Linked DNA regions of Schizosaccharomyces pombe. The protein of the gene in region 4 interacts with the protein of the main gene of each other region in a biochemical or structural test. Each region holds a gene or a part of one and is shown on either strand. Other genes may lie near its edges.

Evidence for each region.
Region 1: the proteins of orc3 (region 4) and cdc18 form a complex in vitro, tested with the Schizosaccharomyces pombe proteins (one study listed by BioGRID).
Region 2: the proteins of orc3 (region 4) and orc4 form a complex in vitro, tested with the Schizosaccharomyces pombe proteins (3 studies listed by BioGRID).
Region 3: the proteins of orc3 (region 4) and orc6 form a complex in vitro, tested with the Schizosaccharomyces pombe proteins (2 studies listed by BioGRID).

The regions. Positions count from the first base shown.
Region 1 is NC_003423.3:2,215,435-2,219,781, reverse strand, and holds cdc18 (MCM loader), read left to right. Parts: upstream 1-1,797; 5' UTR 1,798-1,908; coding exon 1,909-3,642; 3' UTR 3,643-3,827; downstream 3,828-4,347. Other genes in the region: protein tam10, read left to right, coding at 586-688, 735-789, 847-908, 956-1,242; arc1 (ARP2/3 actin-organizing complex WD repeat subunit Sop2), read right to left, coding at 4,164-4,347. UniProt on the Schizosaccharomyces pombe protein: Part of the checkpoint control that prevents mitosis from occurring until S phase is completed. Plays a key role in coupling S phase to start and mitosis. Acts at the initiation of DNA replication and plays a major role in controlling the onset of S-phase.
Region 2 is NC_003423.3:2,023,346-2,029,183, forward strand, and holds orc4 (origin recognition complex subunit Orc4), read left to right. Parts: upstream 1-2,042; 5' UTR 2,043-2,197; coding exon 2,198-5,116; 3' UTR 5,117-5,331; downstream 5,332-5,838. Other genes in the region: FRG1 family mRNA-processing protein, read left to right, coding at 604-641, 714-833, 894-1,352, 1,424-1,544. UniProt on the Schizosaccharomyces pombe protein: Component of the origin recognition complex (ORC) that binds origins of replication. It has a role in both chromosomal replication and mating type transcriptional silencing.
Region 3 is NC_003423.3:2,965,332-2,968,800, forward strand, and holds orc6 (origin recognition complex subunit Orc6), read left to right. Parts: upstream 1-1,921; 5' UTR 1,922-2,023; coding exon 2,024-2,205; exon of another isoform or gene 2,206-2,262; intron 2,263-2,263; coding exon 2,264-2,876; 3' UTR 2,877-2,931; downstream 2,932-3,469. Other genes in the region: iss9 (nuclear export factor), read right to left, coding at 1-295, 364-493, 544-1,191; protein ess1, read right to left, coding at 2,991-3,464. UniProt on the Schizosaccharomyces pombe protein: Component of the origin recognition complex (ORC) that binds origins of replication. It has a role in both chromosomal replication and mating type transcriptional silencing.
Region 4 is NC_003424.3:1,928,233-1,933,222, reverse strand, and holds orc3 (origin recognition complex subunit Orp3), read left to right. Parts: upstream 1-1,919; 5' UTR 1,920-2,058; coding exon 2,059-2,094; exon of another isoform or gene 2,095-2,138; coding exon 2,139-4,175; 3' UTR 4,176-4,452; downstream 4,453-4,990. Other genes in the region: sdd3 (metallopeptidase), read left to right, coding at 1-1,635; SPOM_SPAP14E8.05C (uncharacterized protein), read left to right, coding at 4,900-4,990.

The DNA.
Region 1 (4,347 bases), on a different chromosome or scaffold from region 4:
TAAAGACAAAACTGTTAATCTTTTAAGGAAAACTCTAAATAGACCCTTACTTCATGAAGTTGACTATCACGGAAAAAGTCTTGAAATTCTTGATATGTTGTTGCAGAGCAGAAACAGTATGATATCTTCTTTGCGATCCGAACTACAGGAAAAGAATCAAAAAGATAAAAAAAAAGAAGTAAATAAATTAGAAGAGAAAATGACTAATGCTAAAGAACCTAATGTGAATGTCCCTTCTATGAAAGCGTCATCAGCTATTTCCGTTGAGACGCCTGAGACAATTGAATCAGAAGCTTCAGTGGACCACAAGGAAGCATCAAAGATCATAAAAGATGTAGAAAAAGAAGAATAATTGATTGCCAACCGATCTATCTAGATGTTTTCCAAAAACGGAACAGATTTTTGGTACTCAATAGATGGCTATATGCAGCTTAACTATAATGTTTAGAAATGTATTCAGATCCATAAACTTTTTTACGAAAAAAGATAAAACTCCGAGCTGTCTAAGGGTATTGCTTATTTGGCTCATTTGTTTACGATTTTATCTCTATTGGAATTCCACCAACGCCACGGTCTAAAAAAAAAATGGGAAGCTCCAAATCCTCAAAGAAGGATAAGCAAATCCATCCTTTTGGAACAGATGTTTCTACTTTTCGAAAGCTTTCATCAAAGGAAAAAAAAAAACTCGGTATGTTGGGCAAGTTTCTTTAAATTTCATTAACATGAGTGTTCAGATGAAAAAGAGTTAAAACAATACAAAAAGCTAAAGCATAAAGTTAAAAAGCTTAAGTATGTTTTTTAATGCTTTTTATTAAATCACTACTTCCCACTCTAACATAGTATCAGGAAAGAGGAAAGGGAAAGATCGAGTATAAAAAACACCAAAACTCTAGCGGAGGATCCTATGGGTATGTATATTAAGCATTAACAGTAAATGCTCGTTAACACTGAAAAGTAAAAAACGTAGCTGAAAATGATCATGATCAAATGAAAAACTCGTTAAGTAGGAGTCAGGATAAGGGAAACACTGACTACTGGCTTGCAGCGAGTTTGTCTGGTGGAAATCAACGAAAATCAAAATTTTTAAAAATGTTGGGTATAAAAAATGCTGCATCCATCACTGAATCGTCTCCGTCTGCTCAATCTAATAAAACAAATGACAAGCAGAGAGAGAAAGAACTAGAACAACAATATATGCACGGTGTTTTACACAAAGGAACAAAAAAGGGATTGGGCATGTAATTTGGGGTTTATGTTTAGTTTATTCTTTTGGATAATTACCAAAATTCTCATCTTCCTTTTGTTAAACTAGCTTAAAGTGTTCACTTGCATTCTAAACTAGAGGAAACTTTGCTATGAAATTCAATTTTAGTGAACATTGTAAGAGGTTTACTTTTCTTTAATCGAAATGCTGTTTGCTTTATTGGCCATTAGCACCAAAGATGGTATGGTCCATCAAAAATTCGTTCGTGGGACCTCTGTTATCTTTAGGGATAATTGAAAAAAGATTTTCTAATTTATTAAAAGAATTTAGGGTCTTTTACTTTAATTTTACTAACGTCGTAACTAAATTGGAATATGAGAAGGCATTTCATATCTTTGAGGATGAGTCGTTATAAAATAATATCATTACCTGAATATAAACTTATAGAGTAAAAAGGTTCGCGCGTAGAACGCGACACGACACGTAGAGTTGAACGCGACATCTCATTTACTCTTCGTGATTAATTAGATTTCGCGTTTACGTGTCGCGTCGCGTATATTTATAAAAGACATATCTGCTCTTAAACAAAACTTAAACACCAAGCACGAAGTTAATATTACTTAGTAGCCCTTTTATCAAATTTACCTGACTTGTCTATTGGTAAATAACATAATTAGTAAACGGGGTTACTATAAAGTATCGATATGTGTGAAACTCCAATAGGTTGTCATACACCTCGAAGATGCAATCGTTTTATAGATTCTGCAGCCTTGATTGACTGTACTAACAAAACTAATCAAAGGGAGCATTCACCTTCCTTTTCAATAGAGATTCCGACTACACCCAGCAGAAAACGTACGCTGGCTAGCTCACATTTCCAAACACCCACAAAAAGAATAAAATATGAACTAGGAGAACTGCAAGAGGAGAAAACTGACCTTTATCCTAATTTTCCTGCTCAGTTAAAGGAGAATAAGAAACCTAAATTACCCACAACACCTCAAACTCCTAAAACCCCCAAAAGGACCATTCAAATTGTTACACCCAAATCATTAAATCGTACATGTAATCCTGTTCCATTTGCTACTCGCCTTTTGCAATCGACACCTCACCGTCAACTTTTTCCTCCCACTCCTTCGACACCCTCCACTCCGTCCTATAATTCTACTGCCAAATTGAGTTTACGTAAATCATATCGTTCAGCAGGAGTCGTGGGTCGTGAAAATGAGAAGTCAATTGTGGAATCTTTCTTTCGTCAACATCTTGATGCTAATGCTGGAGGTGCATTGTACGTAAGTGGTGCCCCTGGCACAGGAAAGACCGTTCTGCTTCACAACGTGCTGGATCATGTAGTGAGCGATTATCCCAAAGTTAATGTTTGTTACATTAATTGTATGACTATTAATGAACCAAAAGCAATTTTTGAAAAAATTCACTCTAAAATTGTTAAAGAGGAAATTTTAGAAAATGAAGATCATCACATCAATTTCCAATGTGAACTAGAGTCGCATTTCACCCAGTCCGCCAATGAATTATATAACCCAGTCATTATTGTTTTAGATGAAATGGATCACTTGATTGCTCGCGAACAGCAGGTTCTGTACACGCTTTTTGAATGGCCCTCTCGACCGACTTCGAGATTAATTTTGGTAGGCATTGCAAATGCCTTAGACATGACAGATCGATTTCTCCCTCGTTTACGAACAAAGCATATTACTCCCAAATTACTCTCTTTTACGCCTTATACTGCTCAAGAAATCTCAACAATTATAAAAGCGCGTTTGAAAACCGCCGCTACCACATCAGAAAAAAACAATCCTTTTACTCCTATTAAATCAATCTCTGAAGTAAGCGATGATAGTATAAATGTTGTATCTCAGCATGCTGATGAAACACCTTTTATACATCCTGCTGCAATTGAATTATGTGCCCGGAAAGTTGCAGCTTCAAGTGGTGACTTGAGAAAAGCATTAGACATATGTAGGCATGCAATTGAACTTGCGGAAAGAGAATGGAAAGCTCAACATGACAACACATTATCTTCTGTTGATATACCAAGAGCATCAATTGCTCATGTTGTCCGAGCGACATCTGCTATGAGCCAATCTGCTAGTGCTCGTTTAAAAAACCTTGGTCTTCAACAGAAAGCCATCCTTTGTACGCTTGTTGTTTGTGAAAAAACCTCATTGAGTGTTGCCGATGTATTTGAAAAATACAGTTCTTTGTGTCTTCGAGATCGTTTGATTTATCCATTAACAAGTTCGGAATTTTGCGATGTCGCGAATTCTTTAGAAACTCTTGCAATCATTCGTTTGCGCACGAAGCAGCGTAACGGAAAGCCTCAGGACCGAATCATTAGTTTGCTTGTTCCAGAAATGGATGTCATTACAGCTGTTGGAGACATTGGTACCTTAAAACGATTTTTTGACAGAAGATAGTACTATCATTTCTTTCTCATTCTTTTTTTCTATTCATTATATTTTTATTTCACGCGTTACGGTTTTCAAATTTTGCCGAAAGGATCAAATTAGAACATCCTTTCAATTTCGTTGTTTGGATTACATAAATTTGAACAATATTATTTATCCAACTTGGTGTTTAAACTTTTCAGGTTGATCTTTACTAATTTTACTAACTATACAATTAATAAACACTTTAATCTAAGTTATATCTAATGATTATTCGTAAGAACGCATACCCGTGGTTCAGTCTCAAGTGGTGGTATAAGTAAACTTACGTAGCAAAAGCACTTCTCAATTTTGGGGTCTCTAAGAAAAAATATATACACAAAACTGAATATGATTGACAAAAATTTATAAGACGACATAGTAATCATATAAGCTGCGGAATAACAGTTACTATATCTAGCTAAAGCTTGTTCAATTCTTTTATTCTATGAGATTAACATCTACGGAAATTCGATAATTGATTTGATAAGATTCATTTGCCGATATCTTTTCTAAAGAGTCCACAAAACAACACGTCCGTCGGTACCGCTGGAGGTAAACGCAGTAATATTGCCAGGAGTCCCAGCGTAAGGTCGAAGGGTTGCAATCATATTTTGATGAACGGTTGGTAAAGACGAAATAGACTGGCTGGAGCCCTTCAAATCCATGTTACGGAATGTGCTACGAAGAGCAGTA
Region 2 (5,838 bases), on a different chromosome or scaffold from region 4:
ATATGCAGGTATTATGGCTACACTTATTCACATAGTAATAAGTAAATTGAAACAGTGCTCATCTTTTGTAAGCTTTCAACTGAATAAGCAAAAAAAAATTCTTATTGTCATCAATGGACTTCCTTTTTTGGAATATGACTCGTCCTTCAACGAATGTTTTTGGTATTGAACAATGCTAGTCTTCGGTGCATACTTCTTCTCTCATCTATATTCAAAATTATCATTCAATTAAGCACATTTTTTTTCTTTCTCAAGCCATTAGAATGTTATGCAAATCATCCATTTTACAAACCAACATTAGCATGGGTCACAAAAGTCACATTGTGAGCAACAGAACATTTCTATTCATATAAAGCATTTCCTTGCTTATTAAAAACGTTTGAACCTCTTTTGTTTTGCTAAGAGTACCTTGCCTATTCCTCAGAACATATTGGATTTCAGCACGAAGAAGCATCTGGTCTGTTCAAATCCTTAACACTACTCCCACTACTTGCTTTTTCCTCGAAAACCACGCATAAATATTTAGTCATTATCCATTATTAACAATTATCATTTTTAAGGATTTTTAATCGTTTAAATTCTTGGTAATTTACTGATGGTAAAATGTCTATGCGATTAACTTTCAAGGGAGACAAAAAGATGTAAGATAAAATGAAATAACTGCTCGAATGTGGTAATTCATATTATATTGTTCATCACTAACAAGAAATCAGTCAAAAGAAGAAAAAAAAGAACACAAAATCACTTCAATCTTCTCTAGAATCAGCTGAAAACGATCCTTTTTGGACGGACGCAAACGAGCTAAATGAGCTTGAGGGTCCAGCGGTTATATAGTAAGCTTAACTTCAATATTCTTATACCTTTTTTTCTAATTTACTTACAACTTTATGTAGTAAAATAGACGATGATGCTGGTGTATCTCTTGGAATTGAAGAAGTTAAAGAAAGTTGCGTTCTTCTTCCCCTCGACAAAGTTTCGCTAGAGCCAGAATTGACGCGCCAGGTGTTTTTGTTATCCATACTGAACAATACTATACTATTGAAAAGCTGTTTAGGTAAATACATGTCATGTAGTAAGTCTGGAGACTTGTATTGTACGCAAGAGGCGGTAGGATCACAGGAACAATGGATAGCGGAGAATCTGGGCTCAGGATTTTGGGCTTGGAAAAGTGTATCAACGAAAAAATATTTAACATTAAGTAGAGAAAAACAAGATCAGGCCATTGCATGTGTCTCTGACACTGTCATTCCTGAAGCCAAATGGAGAATTCGAGTACAAACTCGTTTCCTAAAGAAAAACAAGTCTTCTTTATTTGACAACCCAACCATACATTCCAGACAATTAGAATCTATGTAAGTTATGCTATTCTATTTTATTGGGGTTTCCCTTCTACTTTCGTCATTCTAACTTTGTAATTTTACAGGGCTGGAAGAAAACTTTCTACCGATGAAAAAAAGACCCTCAAAAAAGCGTTTAAGGAAGGAGTTCTTCATGAAGCATTACTAGATTTACGAGTATCTTCAAGGAGCGACAAATATGGTTAATTTTTCGGATATTCTTGATAAACCATTAATATCTTGACTTACTGATTAATGTACGATTACCTGCTGGACCAAAGCTAGCAAAAACAGATTTGATTTTTTCTCTTGAATTTTAGGCACCTTGTATAGCTATTGAGACTCCTTTCAGCTATTCACTACTTTTATGTATGAATTTACAAAGCTTTATGGTAATTACTCATTTCAAAAGTGAAGTGTTTTACTTCATTCCTTAATTTTAACGAACTATTTTTTTTTAATAAAAAATGAATATTTAATGAATCTGTTGAAATTCATTCCCTTCATACATGTATGGTTTTACAAATAAATGCAACAAGTAAATAATTATAGTCATCAGCATCGCTTGAAAAAGATTAAAATAGTTTTAGATTATTACTACTATTACCTAGTCATTATTTCAGCTTCAAAAATATATTTCTATACTGGCCCTGTCCTTAAGGCTGTACGCCAATCTTACTGCTCACCTTTACCAAGAATCGAAGTAACACCCTGCATCTGTCAAGTCAAGAGGAAATTGAAAAAAATAATTAGAAAAGAGACCAATTAATTGCATTTGTTAATAAAAAGGCTAAATTTAGAGGATCATTATTTTTACAGTGTATAAAAACCATAGGGATGTGCATCTTCAAGTTTTTAATATGAGCTCATCCCCATTCACAAATCTTGGGAATTTGGACACAGAAGCAATCTATGAAAATAAGGAAAATGAATACCAGACAAACATAACTAATGAGACCTCAAATGTTCAAAATTTATCAAGTGGTAATGATGATCAGCAGTATCCCAATTCTACGAATGATGATGCAAATAATGGATTAACTGCCTCTCAAGCAAAATTGCAAGATATTGCCGCTGTCACTTTATTTCAGGATAATAATATTTCAACTACGACTTTAGCTCCGCCTTCACCTTCACCTTTGCGTCTCAATGAAGCTCCTCGCAGACGTGGAAGACCTCGAAAATATCCACCAAAACCAATTGACGAAGGATCGGAGCCTATAATCAAACGGAAGCGTGGCAGACCTCCAAAAATAAAAAGTTCTTCTCCTTCCACAAAACTAGATGATCCCTTAAAGCCTAAAAGAGGTAGAGGACGTCCTCGTTTACATCCTCTCCCAGTAGTGCAACCGTCTGTAGATGAGGGAACAACTCAAAATAATCTACAGATGGGGTTAGATGAGCCGAATATCATAGAAGGTTTTGCCGAAGGGCATGCCAATTTAAGTGAGCTGAAGCCAAAGAGAGGGCGTGGACGACCTCGAAAAATAAAACCAGAAGAAGGGAGCTCAAGTCAAAATGGGCTTTCTCCTTTGGTAGTATTACCTGCGAAAAGAGGGCGCGGGCGTCCACCTTTACATCGATCTGAACAGAAGATTGCAAATACTCCAATTTCGAATAATGTAACGGTTGAATCGACAGGTACAAATCTACATACTCATTCACAGTTGAATCCAGAAAATGAACAATCTTCTTCTGAATTCTATTCATTGAATCCACAATCTGAAATACGGAAGGAAGTTGTAGTCACAGATCAACCTTTATTTTCTACTGCAGACGTCCCAGTAAAGCGGAAACGTGGACGACCTCCTTTAAATAAGCCCAAGATACTTTTTGGGACAAGTACTGAAAATAAAATAGATGAAAATAGACCCAAACGAGGTAGAGGAAGACCTCGCCTTGAAAGACCGAGTGGCTTGCCTTTAGATTCAAAATCACAATCCCTTTTTAAAAGAAAGCGTGGTAGACCTCCAAAAATAGCTAGTGGAATTGTACCTTTAAGCGCCTTTACTAGAAAACATGAGGATATGCTTCATGACTCAGACGCGTTGTCACTTAAACATTTTGCTATTACATCTCCTAATAATCAACAGTTCCTTAATAATCAACAGCGAGAATCAGCTCCGTTGCTTCCTAGAAAACGTGGACGACCACCGAAAAAGCGTCAAGAGAATGCGGAAATTCGTAATATCACACCTGGTTTAACCGATTCCTCTGTTCACTCCTCTTCAGCAACTCCGCAATCCGAATCTTCATCACCCAATTCAGTTTCTCCACTACTTCCTTCATCTGACAGATTACCCCTTCTTCGACAATCTCAATTTACACCTCCTCCCAAAAAACCTAATTTCGAAGTTGCTATTATTTCTCCTAAAAAGAGTCAGCATAAACTTTATCCTAATCCTGTCGTTGAGTCTGTATTTAATGACGTCCCATATTCTGAAATTGACTCACAGTTACATACTATTAAATCTACGATTGCTGCAAGGTTGTGTGGGAAAAGCCATATCCCTCTTGTAGGACATATGGATGAACAGACAAAGCTTTATCAATGGGTCCGACAAACTATAGTACTTGGCGAAGGTAATTCTGTCATTATTGTCGGTCCACGGGGTTCTGGAAAATCAGTTCTCGTGGATGATATACTATCACGCGCAGCTCAGGAAATAAATGAAAAAAGTTATGTCGTAAGATTGAATGGTACGTACCAGACAGATGACAAACTAGCTTTGCGTGAAATATCGCGACAATTATCTATTGAACTTGAATCTATCGAGTCTGATGAAGCATTAAAATCAGAAATGAACTTTTCTGATACACTTACAAAATTGTTAGCTACATTGTCTCATCCCGTGGATTTGGGAATTGCAGAAGACGTAATGACAACGTCTGCAGCCGTGATATTTGTTTTAGAAGAGTTTGACCTGTTTGTTCAGCATTCACGGCAAATGCTCTTGTATAACTTGTTTGACATTGCTCAATCGAGGAAAGCCCCGATACTGATCATAGGCTTGACTACTCGCTATGATTGTTCTGAATCACTTGAAAAGCGAGTAAAAAGTAGGTTTAGTCACATGGTAATTCCCATGCGACCACCTTCTTCGCTTAGTGAATTTGAGCAAATTTTAAAATCTGTTTTGTATGTTTCTGACGAAGGCGGAAAAGACCAAATAATAACATGCTGGAACCAGAGAGTGGATGAATTGCTTTCCGATACACGAAGTCACTTACATAAATTGGTACAACATCACTATTTTGCAAGCAGAAATTTAAAATTATTGTATGTTGATTTATTATTTCCCATACTTTCCATGGCACCTGATCGTCCATTACTTGCTGATGAAGACTTCGCCAATATCAGTCTCAAAGTTTCTGACCATAAGGTTGAACTTGTAAAGAATTTAAGTTTGTTGGAGTTGGCTTTATTGATTTGTGCAGTTCGCTTTGAAGCTAGGGATATTCCAGCTTGCAACTTTAATAGTGCTTATCAAGAATATCGACAACTGCATCAATCTTCCGTTATAAATGCCGCAGCATCGGGAGCTCTAGCTCATAGCAGTCGATTATGGGGAAGGGATGTTGCTTTGGAAGCATGGGAAACTTTAGGGTCTATAGGATTGATTATACCGGTTCACCCTTCTACTAATGTTAGTGGTGCCCTTTCTAGACAATGCCAACTATGGCAGCCAGAAGTGGATATCAATGTAGTTTCTGTAGGTTTGCGTGAACATCGACGTTTGCCATCGCATTATTACCGCTGGCTTAAGGAGGTTATATAAAAGAATTGCAATTTTTTTTGTTTCTGTTGTATTTTATTAACTTTGTATCCTTTTTAAATAAAACAATATAAGAAAGGCAAAAATAAGGACGACCGTGTTGAAGGTTATATACCATTACACATTGTAGTTATTACCGATATTTGATAAATAAAAGTTTTAATTTTAATTGATTAAATATTTGCTTCTGATAAACGAAAATAGAATTTACTTTTTTGCTATCAGCGCTGGTTAAGCTGTGAAAGAAGCTGGTCTCCAAATATTTATATTAGATGACTTATGAAGGTAAATCAGTAATCAACGGATCAATGAATACCTAAACATTTTAATGATAGTTTTTGTTTCAGGGTCACTTTGTACTAATGTAGAAAAAAAATTTTGGCGGAATATTTCATGAAAGGTGGTAAGAAAAACAAAATAAATTAGATTAAACGAAAGGACTCATCAGTGGTACTTTTAAGCCCAAAAAAAAGTGATAGCACATAAGGAATTCACGCAGTTTAACTAACTTAAAGATATGTCATAAAAGTTTAAAAAAAGCATCACAATAACAAGATTCTCATTATAAAATCAAAAACAAACTAATATTCAATAAACTGCTAATTGAATATGAATTTAACCAATTTATCTTTTAAACGAAACACTAGCCTTAACGAAAGCAGGAAAAAACAGCCTGCACTCGTTGTAGGCACCGTACAGTATTGAAACAATTTTGAATTGAAGCT
Region 3 (3,469 bases), on a different chromosome or scaffold from region 4:
CAACTCCTAAAAAAGTTTACACAATCTTCCATTTCTTCAAATGCTAGTGTGTTAGCCAAAAATTCCATTGTAAGAGAAGGGCGATATGCTTTGCACATCATTATCATCGCCTGCACTCGTTCTCTCTCAATAAAAAGATCCATCAAATAACCTCCCATGTTGGGAGCGACTAAATATAGATGGAAAAATTTATAGTAATCGCCAGTAGCCATCGCCGAACGGACTTCTAATGCATGTGTAACAGCAGCGTTTGTTTTGTCTTCTTCTTTTAGATTGGCGAGAAGGCTATTCATTTCTATAAATTGTTAATAATTTGAATTCAAAAGATATATTCTTTTAAGCAGTAAGCCGTAATTAACTTACCAGATCGATTTTTAGTGAAGAGCATATACAGAATACGATATGCTAAAAATTCCTTAGTATTCCCTGGTATACCAAAACTGTAAAGATGAAATAATTGAGTTTGACATTGGTTATACTCGCCAACATCACCCTAGTCGAACGTTAGAAGAAGAAATGATATTTTAAAGTAATTAACCGTACCTTTTCAAGAGCTATACGAGCATGTATTTCGTAAACTAATACAGAAAACTCATTTTGAATCCTTTGCACAGTTAAATCCTGTCTTAAACTTTTAAATTGATCGCATATATATGCATAGTTTTTCTCTTCTTTCCATTTCTTCTTTAAAAGTTCGAGAGTTTGCTTAAGAACTGGAAGGGGTCGAACAGTATCCGGATCAGGAGCCGAAGTTAATCGCAAATACCTTTTCTCTAATTCTGTGGACCGTCCTATAATAGCACCATTCTCCGGGTTGACTTTTAGCTCTTCAGATTTAGCGTTATTTTGAGAACGAGAACCATTTTCAAACCTTCTTCTTCTTTTTTCTTTCTTATCCACTTCATCTTCTTCACTTAAAAGTGAAAATTGATTTCCAGAAACAGGCTTCTCAACCTTTCTTTTTTTATCTTCGATGATTGTATTTTGAGCATTTGTCAGTTTCCTTAGGGATTCTAAATTCATAGAAGACCAATCAACATTCCATATGTTTCCCATTTCGTATTGACGAGAAATTAGCAATTTTACTTCATCCTCTAATTCTGGCTGGCTGTTTTCCTCAGCGTCTTGGATGCATCTACCAATAAATTCTTTCAAAGAGTCCGGCCAAGGGCTATGATGTTCTTTTTTCATATTTAATATTTTTCATTGAGCTATATGATTAATGCTAAAGTTAAGTACTTTTCTCAACTTCCTCAATTGCTAAAGTGGTGAGTACCGAGATTGTATGAGAAGTGCGAGTCCGTCAGCTTAACCCTGTCAGTAACGTTGTAAGTCGATTTCATTATCCAACCTTTCAATCAATAAGGATTAATTTATTACTATTCAGTTGATCGTTCATCATTTTTTCCTTTAAAAATTTAAAAAGTCATCAAATAATTCAACGGTTCCACCTAAACTTGTTTGTTCGCTTAAAATTTATGAAACCAACATGGAAAGTAGTTAATATTAACTCACGCTATTCACGCATATTTTATTCTGTATGCCTCATATAGCCTTGATTAAACTACTAAAAGAGAGTAATATACCGAATTATCAAGCCTAAAACACTACCTCCCAATAAAGCAATCGTAATTCATTATTAAATAAAAAAAAATTTGAAGACTGCTTCGAAAGTTTTGTAGTAATATCTTGAAGAATGTAGGTCTAAATTCTAAGCTTTTGGTGACATTATTTAAGATAACTAGCAACCGGAATGATTAAGCAAGAGTCATATTAAATAAGTACGGAATATAAACACCAAATTCAGTGGTGCATCAAGTAGATAGATTTTATATTTTTGAAACAGCTGGTAGTATTAGCAGCATTAAAAACATCGTTTAAATGTCTCTGTATTAAACACCATATTGACATAAAACAAACTAAGCGTTCACCACTATTATGATATTATGAATGATTACATGATTTCAATAATTAATAATCAAAATTAAATGATAAAAGTTTTATTAAATATATTCATTTTCTCATGGAGCGACAACAGATTATAGAGTCTTTACGCAGAATAATTCCCACTGAAAGTACAGAATATAATGAACGGCTTATTAGTTTAGGAGAGTCATTTTTGGAATGGTCCAAATATAAACATAATCTAAAGGCGACAGAAGAGTTATGCCGTCCTTATATGGCAGCGCACTTAGCTTGTGAACTGTAAGTAACTTCTGATGTTTAATTACTCTACTTGAACTTGTTCTGACTCTTTAAAAAGATTATCCAATGATTTAAATTTGGAAATAAATTTACTAGCGACTCCAATTCCAAAAAAGAAATACTATAAACTTTTCACTTACTTTCAAGAAATCTTATCTCCATTAACTAAATCCTTAGCAGCTAAAGATGATCTGATGGAAACCATTACTTATCTTTGTACCAAACTAGGGGGCTCAACTGCTATACCTTATGTTAAACAATTGGTGAAAGCCGTTGTTACAAACGACATGCGCATCGAACACAAAAGAGGCATCATAATCGCAGCTTATTTACTAGTATCGGCAAAAGCTTTTGGAAAAGACGAACTTCATATAAATCACACCGAGAGAAGAAAGGCACAGAGTGTTTTACAGGATACAAGTTCTGCATTGCAAATTCAGTATTGGATGCATGTCCTCTCAGAAAGTTGGCAGTATAAAGAAATCCCTTTAAATGGTATAGAGGGTTATGAATCTCAAAAGCAACGGATAAAACCTTGGAGTGGGATAGCAAGCATGATTCAAATAGATTACGAAAAACGACTTCAAAATTATCCAATATGGAAGGCCTGCATTGAAGAAAGAATCCAATATTACAAAAGCCAGCTTGAAAAAGATGGTACTGCTTCATGAATACAATTTACTATATTAATTTTTTTTTGTACATTAAACAACATTTATAAACGGGTACACGATATCTTTAGTGATATATACAAATACATGAGTAAAAAAAAGTTAAATTAGACTCTAAGCTTTACTAATAGACCACTCCAAATTTGTAATAGACACTTCTGAAGAGGCATTTTCATCATAGTCATACCAATCATCCTCTAATACTATTTCGTCAAAAAGTGTATTACTTTCAGCACCATTAGCTATCCATTCTCCCTGAGGAATGAATTCGACTAGTTCACATCCTCTGCATTCCAATACGAGAACTTTTTTCGTCTCTTGAGAATCATTGTAAGGAGAGAATGGCCCCTCTATAACGAAAGAGCAAGTTTTGCGACAATTTTTGCACGTCCATATGAGATTAGCCTCGCCCTTGCTGCCAGGTATGCTGTGAGTCTCGCTGCGGGAGATTTCAATGGCATTGTCGTGAATCTCTCGACAACCACTACATTGGACTTTAAAAGCATAATAGAAGGATTCTTCATCCTTGGGAGCTAAATTTTTCACACCAGTCAACTCAGCGTTTAAGTTAAGAGCAAATTTTCCCATATTGC
Region 4 (4,990 bases):
AAATCAAAAGAAAAGAATGAACAAAAGCTTTCTGTTAACTTAATTTCAAGCTTCAGGATAAGTGATCCAGAGAGTATTCGGTTTTACTCATCTACGACTGCTAGGACTCGTTCCGCAGGTCAACCTTTTGACAATGAAGTCCAAACTTATATAGACACTGATGTTTCTTCAGAAAACCCTTTCATCCAGTTCGATCATATTGATAGTTCCTTTGTCCAACTTGCAACGTATATCGACACCTCTATGATTCCTTCAAGTTTGAAACCATATCTTTCTGTATTTGCTAAATATATAGAAGCTGCTCCGGCCTTGCTCTCAGGTACCATACCTACACCCTATCACGAAGTCGTCAAGCAACTTGAGCGTGACACTGTATCACTCAATGTTTCGCTTAGTTTTGACACATCATCTTGTGGTTACGCTTATTATGAAACTAAACGTGAACTGCTTTCTATAGAAATAAAGGTCACTCGTGAAAATTACGAAAAAGGAGTTTATTGGATACGAAATTTATTAGCCAAAACGGTATGGGATAGAGAAAGAATGTTATCAGTAATAAATCAGCAACTGGCCGACATTCCTTTTCAAAAACGTGACGCAGAATTTATATTACCATCATATTTCGATATCCGTCTATACAATGATTGCTCATTGAAGTACAGCCTAAATACCTTAAGTCAAGAGAAAATTCTTCGCGAATTACGGGATAAGTTACAGAATGATCATTCATCAATTTTTGATGCCTTTCAAAAAATGAGAAATTACATGTTACAGCATCAAGCCATTCGTATTCATGTAATTGGTGACATTTTAAAATTACCTCAGCCAATAAGTACATGGAATAAGTTACTTGATAGCGAATGCCACCGGAATCCAAATATGGAGTTTCTTTCGACTTTCTCTAAGAACTATTTAAAGCCTCAAGAATTTGGAAGTAGCAGTTCCCTTACCGTTATTCCGATGCCGTCAAACGAGAGTAGTGATTTGGTATTTTCTATTCCAGGTATTACCAGCTGGCTTGATCCGTCACTTCCAGTTATCGTCTTGATTGCAAATTATCTAGGGTTGATGGATGGCCCTTTTTGGAATACCATTCGTGGTTCTGGCCTTGCTTACGGATTTAATATGTCAATTGATGTGGATGGTGGTGTGCTTTATTATTGTATTAACACCTCCCCTGATGTCTATAAAGCATGGGCTTCAAGTCGCGATCTTGTAAAATCGCTAATATCTGGTGAGGTGCAAGTTAGTAGTTTTGATTTGGAATCTGCCAAATGTGTATCTTATAGCATAGTATCGGAGCTTGAAAACAACGCAATTTACTCATCAAAAAACTCGTTTACTTTGTTATCTATCAAAGGTCTAAACAAAGATGAAGATCATAAATTTTTAGAAAAAGTAAAGCAGGTCACATTACAACAATTTTTAGAGGGTTTAAAAATTTATTGTTTACCGTTCTTCTCATCCAGCAATAACTTAGCTGTTATCACTTCTTCCTTAGCTAAGATCGAACAAACTGTTGAACAGTTCACAGAGGAAGGCTTCAATGTGAATGTTGAAAGTCTGCATGAAATTCAAGGAATTGAATCAGAATCCGAAGATGACTTATCGGTAGGAGGAAATGATGACAATTAATGAGGCGTGAACTCAACCAAAATTTTTATTTTATTTAAAAAATGATATTTTATAAAATTCCTTAAACTTTGACTCATGATTAATGAAAATAAAAAAAAGACTTATACCAACAAATCAAATAATTCTTCGATGTATGAAAATATATGTGTATATTCGTATTCTTTTTTAGTCCTACAAACGTCTGTCGACTCATTCTATTAACTCGAAGCATCAAAACAAACTAGCAAAGTGCTTTCTGCACTTACTACGCTTTCTAAGGTACCCATTTTCAGAACGGTGCTCTTGTGACAACCACTTGTTAATGATTCAAATTAAGACCTAATTAAATGAAATAATGCTAATAATTTGTGACACGCAAACAGAGTAAACTCAAATACTAAATTTGCTAGTCATCTGGCTTTTTCTCTACAATATCAAATTAATATGTCAGCAATACTACAATATGATTCAGTCAGTAAAGTAAGTGGAATTTTTTCAGTATTTTATCTAACTAAATTGTTTAGGGAACTTATTCAGTGAAACCCAAGCCAACAGAGAGCCTGGGAAATGAGTTTAGTGAAGGCCTTTTTGTTCCTTTGATAGGAGGTAAAGAACCTATAGAATACGTAAAATTAAGAGAAAATCTCTGTACGAAAGTGTTAAATGAGTTAGAAGAAATTACAACTCACACTACATATGATAGTAACGCCAGAGTTTTGAGACAATTGTGTGAACATGCATCAGAGCCAGTAGATGAAACTGGGTTACTTCGAACTGCAATCGTTTGTGATAAGAGTAGCAACTCGATGCACCTAAAGTTTTACGAGCAACTTAAAGACGATATGGAAAAAATTGGGTGGAAAAACTTTGTTGTGTTAAATCTGAAAGCTCATCGTGATTTGAAATCATGTTTTCGAGTAATAAAAGGTGGATCATTTGGACTAGGTGTCCTTTCGTATGACATTGAAAAACTTGATGAAAAGACCGTGTTGGTATTGGAAGATGTAGAAGATTGTGATCGGCGTCTTTTATCTTCTCTTGTGGAAGCACTTAGCTCACTCGTCCGACATTCAAAGTTACAAGGATGCTTATACACAATTTTTAATTTAAAAATACCGCTTGAAATGTTTGATACATCCCTCGATTCAAAATTCCTTAGCAATGTTAAAACCAAGGTTTTTAACATGAAGGCAAGCACGGAAATTCTTGAAAGCCTCTTTACCTCGATTGAGGAGAGTTTGAGTTTAAAATTTGGCTGGCGGACTCGGAGATTTTTTCGCTCGATGTTTTACGAGCGTTCATGGAGTGTTGAGAGAGTTATTGAATGCATTCGCTATAGTATTCTAACTCACTTTTATGGAAACGCTTTGAGTATTATAGAGCATTTGATATATCAAAAAGACTTTCATTTAATATCCCCTCTTCATTTAACCACTCTAAGAACAGTTCCTAGTTTTCAGCGGCACATTGAACAGCGTCTGGAAATTGGAGATTTGGAAAGCATTAACTATGTCGAGAAAATGTTGAATGATGATACCTACTTTCAAGAGATGGTCATTCAAATGTGCGAGAATTTATTATATCGGGAGCGTTTACTGCGCACCCAAGCTAAAATTTGGCACGAATTAGAAATGGCTGTGAAAACAACGACTAGAATTTCATTTGCTGATTATTTAGAGACATTTTTGCAAGGGGACTGGCTATCAAGTCCTCAGTACAAAAGTATATGTCAGGCAATTTTAAGAATGAATTCTACCAAAGCCTTGGCTTGTCTGGATTATTTAAATGAAAACATATTTACTGGAAATCAAACTATGAAGTGCTTAGAAATTCACCAGGAGCTTTCTGAACTCATTCGCAACTCTTCAACTAATTACTTAGAGCCCGTCGAGGTTCGAATGCAAAACTATAGTGGAACAAAGCATACAAGAAAAGTTGTTGAATCTGGCTTTGATAAAAGCATAATTGACTTTTCTAAAATTTTGAAGAAAATTGTAGGATTATTGGACGAAGAAGTTCAATATGGATGCTTGGGTACTGAATCTATTGATATGTATCCCTTTTACGAAGTGCTATTTTATGATTACTGTCGACCGTTGAATCAAGCATTTGCTTCAGGACATCAAAGAAGTGTGATTCATAGTTCGTGCATGGATCCAGAGTATTATGTAGGAGATGAAAAGAAAATTGACAGCGAGTTTTCTAACGCTGAAAAAGATGGAAAAGATTTGATATCCTGGCTTCCAGATTTATCTATCCTTTATAAGTTATATAGTGAATCTGGTGCATTGCTTAATTTGTACGATTGGTACATAGCATTTTCAGAGCATCTGCAAGCTGGAAAAGAAAACTTGAAAGAGGATGATAACCATCCACGAGAATCACCTCAGGGGAATCTGCAAAGAGAATTGAATGAACTAGATGAGGATAAAAGAAAACTCGAAGAAGCAAAGCTACAATCTCGATTTTTGTTTGGTTTAGAAGAATTGAGGTTTTTAGGGCTTATCAAACCTACCGCTCGCAAAACTGATCATGTCATGAAAACTATTTATCATCAGTAAGGTGCGAAATATAAATTGTGTATAACCTTGCTACTTAAAAATGCTAGCAACTCACTTTTTTCTCTGTATTCAAGTCTTTTAGGTTCTCCCAAGAAGCCTACTTTTTGTAAACAATTAAATGTATATCTCATTTTGAGCACTTTGTCTTTTGATTAAATTGAAAATATGTTCTTTCTCTGTTGGCTACCTATACCGATAGAAACAATAGCACGCTCGAAAATTGGAATCTGATAATCTGTCAGATTTCGGTGCTTATCATATTTATTACAAATATTCTATTCTAGCTAAGAAGTCGTCAGATCAAAGATAATTTGTTGTGTTCCATATTGCTCGTAGACCAGCCTATAAACCATTAATCGTAGTATTGTGATATATAAACTGGCGGTTAGCAACTTCGGATTCAGTATTTCGCAAATAATTCGCATTATAAAGAAAAAGATCAACTCATAAAAACTTACTTTATTTTGTTTTTTTATCCCACACCTGTATTGTTCTTCTATAACGATACATAATGAATTACATAATATAAATTTTGGGAATTTGTCTCAATGGCAATGATATTTATTTTAGCCCCAGATTTATTGCTACTTATATTGTGACGTTTCTCACGAATGAACGAACATGGATAGCGCCCTAAGTTACACTGTTGAGTATGTGCGCATACGAAGTCTGTTTTCGACTACAAACAAGCTGCTAGACACCTTCAAATTTTCAAAAGTATACAATGACACCTGATCAAAACGCTTTAGTTTTAAGTTTTCTCTTGACCGTAGGTGGTCTAATAGGATATTTGCGCAAAAAAAGCAAAGTATCAT